Mus musculus: one gene and its partner. The protein of the gene in region 2 interacts with the protein of the main gene of each other region in a biochemical or structural test. Links are inferred from orthologs where the notes say so. Each region holds a gene or a part of one and is shown on either strand. Other genes may lie near its edges.

The links. The genes of interacting proteins can lie anywhere in the genome.
Region 1: the proteins of Vegfa (region 2) and Sparc form a complex in vitro, tested with the Homo sapiens proteins (2 studies listed by BioGRID, with this or other methods). The link is inferred for Mus musculus from reciprocal best matches to the Homo sapiens genes VEGFA and SPARC.

Annotation. Positions count from the first base shown.
Region 1 is NC_000077.6:55,395,985-55,399,632, reverse strand, and holds part of Sparc (SPARC precursor), read left to right. Parts: intron 1-307; coding exon 308-441; intron 442-936; coding exon 937-1,085; intron 1,086-3,648.
Region 2 is NC_000083.6:46,019,425-46,022,514, reverse strand, and holds part of Vegfa (vascular endothelial growth factor A), read left to right. Parts: intron 1-166; coding exon of another isoform or gene 167-238; intron 239-1,392; coding exon 1,393-1,524; intron 1,525-3,090.

The DNA.
Region 1 (3,648 bases), on a different chromosome or scaffold from region 2:
TCCAGTTCTGCTGGGATCAAACCCTGGCCATCGCCTAGAGAGGTGCGAGAGCATCTGGGTGGGTGATAGAACCCCTCAGCAGGTTGGGTGCAAGCCAGGAAGCAGCAAGGTCTTGAGCTTCCCCGTGCAGACTTTTTTACTTATGACTCTGGAAAGAGTCTGGATCAGAGAGACAGAGAGAGGCACCAAGGCCAGGGGTGCTCAGTAGAGTTCTCATGGGCTGTAAGACAAGAAGGAGACAGTAGTCAGGTGGCGAGTCTGCCCTCTGGCAGGTGTAGGTTGATTAATCTTGCCTCTTGTGCCCTAGACATCGCCCCCTGCCTGGATTCCGAGCTGACTGAATTCCCTCTGCGCATGCGTGACTGGCTCAAAAATGTCCTGGTCACCTTGTACGAGAGAGATGAGGGCAACAACCTCCTCACTGAGAAGCAGAAGCTGCGTGTAAGTGACCTCCTCCCAGCTTGGACTGCTGTGCCTGCTATTCATCTCCCTGGAGTTTGCTGATGGAGATCTAGGGCTGATCTCTAGAACCTGGCCCCAAGGTGGCCTATGCCCCACTTTGCAGGGTGCCTTCACCATTGACACCAGGACAAAAACTTCCAGCCACCTTTGGAGGCTCTGAGGAGGTCTGTAGTAGACAGATCCAGAGCATGACCCTATTCCCTCTCCTCCTGAGTCAACAGGCCTTCTCTTTTAGGGAGCATATTTAGCCTCATGGCAAAGACCTAGTGTTGAGTTCTCGGCCTCTTCTAAAGTCTCCATAGACAGTGGGGGCTTGGGGCAGGTGGTGCTATGGTTTCCCCATCTGTGTGTGGATAAGCTGCTAACACCAGCACCTCTCTCCTAGCCTCACTGTGAGCTCTGGTCTTGGCTGGCCTCTTGTTATGTGGTAGAGGGGGATGGACCCTTGGTCACCTGCTGATCCCGCCCCTACAGGTGAAGAAGATCCATGAGAATGAGAAGCGCCTGGAGGCTGGAGACCACCCCGTGGAGCTGTTGGCCCGAGACTTTGAGAAGAACTACAATATGTACATCTTCCCTGTCCACTGGCAGTTTGGCCAGCTGGATCAGCACCCTATTGATGGGTAAGAGTCAGGGTCCTCAGGACCATAGGCTCAGCGCTGTCCTGGACTGGGGCTGGTAGGGCATTCGAGGGGGCAACCTTTGCTGCTTCTCGGCCCAAGACTCCACGGTCAGCTTAGGGCTGGGAGGAAGTAAGCCCTGAGACATGTAATGTCAGAGGAAGCAGTCAGCAGCAGTACAAAGAATTCTTCCCAGGCCTATGAAGGCAGGGGCAGGGGGCCCATGTGGGCAGAGAAAAAGAGCCCAGAAACAGCCTTCAATGTGACCCAGAGCCAAGGCCTTGCTCATCCTTGTTCATGCTTGTGTGTGGTCCTTCAGCTGAATAGGGCAGCCACCACAACGGCCATGTCTCAGACTCCTCCTGAGGTTCAGTTCCATGGAGCCCACCTGGCCCCAGAAGTTCCTAAGAATTTCAATGGCTTCCACATTACATATTCCTGACCTGGGTGCTCTTGGCCTGTGGTCTGGGCATTGTGAAGACTTCAGAGAGTTTGAAGAGCAGTACCTAAGCTGACACTGAGTACCTACTCCTCTGTCACTTCTGGCTTCCCTTTGCAGCCATGAGAGTAAGAGGTCCTCCCTGTTCAGGTCCCAAAGAGGCAACTCACTCACTCCTTCCCGGGGCCGTTGCTGCTCTATGCTTTGAATATCAAAAACAGGTGGTTACTCAGGGGACAGGCAGGACCACCTCCCTGGCATAATTGGGAGAGAGATATTAGGCCAGAAAGGCTTCTCTCTGAGATGCTCATCACTCTATGTCCGGTTGTGTGCTGACCAACCCCCACCCCCAATTCCCTCCCAGTGCCTGGCTCTCCTAGGCTCTGGGAAGCTCTCAGCTGCTCCTCTCCCAAGCTCTTGCAGTGGCTGGGATCCAACTGAGTGACACGGGGGTATGGAAGGGAGAGTCCTGGGGGACATCCGGATCCCGTGTGCCAAGTGGCCTCGAGAAAGTTCGAGGTGGCTTGCCAGGGCTGGATGGCTGGGGAACGCTCCAGCCTCCTCTTGGTCAGAGCTGGAGGTGGCCTTGCAGTGGCCCGAGTCTGTTTTCTCACAGGACCATGAAGGTCCTGGCCATCTCAGATTCTGTGTGACGCCTCCTGTGAGCAGGAGGCTGTGAGGAACACTGGAGTCAGAGTGTCCCCTGACGTCCCTTGTGGGTAGTTGTGTTCTGGGGACAACTAATTGGGATTCTGAGGAGAGAAAAGGAAAAGAAGCAAAGATCATGCCCTAGGGTCTGAGGCCAGCAGGAGCACACAGAGGACAGAGGGAGGGTGACCCTGAAGTCACTCATTGCATGATGTAGCCTTCCCATCTTACCACCCAGCCAGGCCTGGTTCAGCCCCTCCCGGAAGTCAGAGCCATCACCAGATTTTGTTGTTCACTTATTTTTAGCACTGGGGATAGAACCTCTCACTAGGGAATTCTAGGAAGTGCTCTATCACTGAACCACACCACATTCCAGTCCCTTACTGGAGGATTCTAGTCCAATACTCTACCACTGAACTATGTCCCCCAACCCTTTACTGGTGGATTCTCAAGGGGGATTCTAGGCAGGTGCTCTACTGCTGAGCTATATCCCTGCCCTATTAGAGGACTGATGGGTCTTTTAAGACCCCATTTTAGGCTCCTGCAGTTATATCAGTGTGTGAACATCAAAAATCTATAGTGTGGTCAGGAGGGGGTGGTGCACGCCTTTAATCCCAGCACCTGGGAGACTGAAGCAGGCAGGTCTCTGAGTTTGAGGCCAGTCTAGCCTACTTAGAGAGTTCCAGGGCTATACAGAGAAACCCTGTCTTGAAAACAACAACAAAGAAAAGAAAAGAAAGGGAAGGGAAGGGAAGGGAAGGGAAGGGAAGGGAAGGGAAGGGAAGGGAAGGGAAGGGAAAAGAGAAGGGAAGGGAAGGGAAAAGAGAAGGGAAGGGAAGGGAAGGGAAGGGAAGGGAAGGGAAGGGAAGGGAAGGGAAGGGAAGGGAAGGGAAAAGAGAAGGGAAGGGAAGGGAAGGGAAAAGAGAAGGGAAGGGAAGGGAAGGGAAGGGAAGGGAAGGGAAGGGAAGGGAAGGGAAGGGAAGGGAAGGGGGAAGGGAAGGGAGAAGGGAAGGGAAGGGAAGGGAAGGGAAGGGAAGGGAAGGGAAGGGAAGGGAAGGGAAGGGAAGGGAAAAGAGAAGGGAAGGGAAGGGAAGGGAAGGGAAGGAAAGGAAAGGAAAGGAAAGGAAAGGAAAGGAAAGGAAAGAAAAAGAAAGGAAAAGAAAAGAAAAGAAGAGAAAAGAATGACAATCTATATTGCAATCTCACAGACTTTGACGTAGCATAACTGAGGTGCCGAATATATTGTTTCTATGTCCCCAACACTCATCCAAGTGGCCCTTACAATGGGGCCTATAGACTCAGAACTGGAACAACTTCACTTACTTCCCTGTCAGATGGGCTAGGAAACTGAGGCTCAGAGTAGGGTCGTGTGGTGGTGTCTTGGGTCTCTCCTGCAGGACCATGGCAGAGCTGTGGGTAAAGCCAGGATCCCAGCCCTGGGCTCCTACTACCGGCTTCCCATACTGGACTGTTGTTCTC
Region 2 (3,090 bases):
CACGCTGTCTCTGCTCACCCGTGACTGAGGTTTGACCTAGAGGCTGCTCCAGGAAGTGACTAGGGTAGTTTTGGGTCTCCTGCTCCTGCCTCTGTCTTCTTCATTGCTCCTCTCTTCTCTTCCCTCTCGTTCTCTTCCTGTCTGTTTCTGTTTTTATATTTTCCAGAAAATCAGTTCGAGGAAAGGGAAAGGGTCAAAAACGAAAGCGCAAGAAATCCCGGTTTAAATCCTGGAGCGTGTACGTTGGTGCCGCTGCTGTCTAATTCCTTGGAGCCTTCCTGGTCTCCAGACAATCGCCTGCAGCTCCTCTAACCCTGCCCACCCCACCCCTGCCCCACCCCTACCTCCCCTCTGGCTCTTGCCCTGCCTCAGTCTCTCTCTCTCTCACTCACCCCACTAATGGCACCAATGGGTAGACTTGGTGGTGGCATTGTTGGCCCAGGGTTGGGTTGGGGTGGGTGGAAGGTGAGTAGATACGGAACACTCAACTCAGGGAGGGGACTCTGGCTTGGCTGGGCACCGACTTTCTCTCACCCACTGGGCATTGGTGGCGGGGCCGTTGTTGGCATGGGCACTGGGCATCAGGGCCCTCTCATCCAACTGGTTTCCACTGCTCTAGACTCTTGCACATGTCTGGAGGGTAGGGGTGGTGTGGAGGGCAACGTGGAATGAGTTGAGGGGTCTGTTGGTGGGAAGTGGACTGTGGTGGGCTGAAGTTGGAGCTTGAGCGGGCTGTGCGGTAGCCCGTCCTCGTCTGTTGGAAATGCTTTGACCCCTGGGTTTGAGGCTCCAGGATGGGAAAGCCCTCCCTATCCAGCCCAACAGAAATCACCCACAGAGGTCTCCTACGGTGGCCTCTTCCTCTGCTTATAGGCTGTTGTGGGCTCTGGAGGCCTGGCTGGTGGACAGTGCCACTGGACTTGGATTACCTTCTGCTGGCCCTCTCCCTTGGTGGAGGGTCTGGGCAGAGGCCCTTTTCCAGGGAGAAGGTACCCTGGTGGTCTCCTGGGTCACTTATCACTGTCCCCAGCAGGTGAAGAGTCAAGGTGTGTTGTGGGCACAGCAGTTGTGGGGGCCCTGTGGCCCCAGATAGGCCCATGTCTTCGTGGGGCACAGCACTGTCCCTCATGGAAGCTTACCCTCCCCCTGCACTCTGCCTGCCTGTGCCCTCCTCTTCCTGCAGGCACATGTCCTGCCAGCGCTGCGTCTCTTTGCCACTCTCTCTGTCTTCTGCTAGAGTGCTCGGATCTTTCCAGAATGTGGAAAGGGCCTAGGGGCCGACGAGCTGGGTGGGGAAGCCGTGGTGGACACATTAGGGGGTGTTGCATGGGACTCTCTCTCTCTCTCTGCTGACTCTCTAGCTTAGATGTCTTTCCTTTTGCCTTTTTGCAGTCACTGTGAGCCTTGTTCAGAGCGGAGAAAGCATTTGTTTGTCCAAGATCCGCAGACGTGTAAATGTTCCTGCAAAAACACAGACTCGCGTTGCAAGGCGAGGCAGCTTGAGTTAAACGAACGTACTTGCAGGTTGGTCTCCAGAGGGCAAGCAAGAGTCAGAGAGGGGCATCACAGACACGGGAGAGAGAGAGAGGGAAAAAGAGAGAGACAGAGAGAGCACACTTGTGAGGGGCCAACTGCTTGCTCGGCTTCTAGCTGCCTGCGTGGTGACTGCTACCTTCTCTCCTGCTGGGGCTCTGTGGGGCCTCGGGCTCCAGTCTGGCCCAGCAGGCCTGCTCTGAGATGGCCCTGGTTGCTTGAGTGGGTAGGCTGCTGTGACTTAATGTGACGGTGTGGACGCAAGTTGTGTGTTGTATCCTGTGGTCCTGCTGCTTATGGAGGCTGTTGGTGTTGATGTTGTTAATTCTATCATTGGTGCAAGTGTTAAAACCTCCTTCCAGGCGTGGAGTGATGTCTAATAGTGTTTCCTGGCTGCACCTTTGCCCCCCCGGAGAACCAGCACAGCTGAGCCTCTCACCACTCAGTATATTTTCCCTGGGCTTGAAGGCTTAGCTCCTGTTGTCTATTCCCTTAAGATTATGGCTTCTTGAAGACAGGCTGTCTCCCTCAGACTGGAGCTCTGTAAGGACAGGCCATGTGCACCTCAGACTGGAGTCCACCTTAGACTGGGCTTCCTGAAAGAGGCAGGGATCTGCTGTTGGTTTGGGCTAGGAAATTTTTTCTACATACATCCGAGGACACTACATAGCTTATCCCTCATCAGTCAAGGCAAGTGTGACAACCCTGACCAGCCCACACATTTCAAAATGCTTCCAATGAGTTTCAGGAAAAGAGTCAGATCCATTCTTCCTGACGGGACTCCATGAGTACCTGAAGCCTGGGTCATAAACTGTTGGGATGCCCAGGTATCTGTACTCCTGTTTTTTGTCCATGTGGACCTAGGAAGTGTCAATCTCACGAGTAAAATATTGTATATGGCCACACCCACTGGGGAGCTCAAGAGCACAGGGCTGTTGACTGGCAGTCCCAGGGTGGTTTATACCGGTGTGGCCTGTCCCAAGGATGACCATCACCGAGGGAGGGAAAGCTTTTACGGGCTGGCCAACAAAGGGCCAGCCTTCCTTCCAGGCAGTGCAAGGGTTCTCTGGCATGGGCCTTGTTCCCCGCCTGCATTCTTGTGTCCTGTGGGTTCAAAAGACACCAGAGGCCTGGCGGGTCTCTCTCTCTCTGTGGTCCTTGGTATGAAGTTGTTTCTGAGAGGCTGTATGAGAACAATGTATCTGTTAGTGCTGTGTAGGGACTCTTCCCAACAACAGGGCTGGGTGAAGGGGCTCAGTTCACTGGAGGGTTTTAAGGAAGATAAAGACCTTGGTATTGTAGGGTTTCTGGAGTGAGCTGGGAGCTAAATGAAGTCACCTGACTTCCAGAGACCCGACTCAGTCCGCTACTGCCCTGTGTCTGGGAACCCAAGACGAGGTTAGGACCCGTGTTTCCAGCCTGTCCTCAGGGCCACCAGCCAGGGTCAGGAGCAAGAGGAGAACATCTTTGGAGATTCCTTCTGCTTCAACAGGAGGAACAAAGCCACTGGGTTGTCTGTCCTCTGCCTAAGTCAGACATCATCGTGTGGTAAAAGGC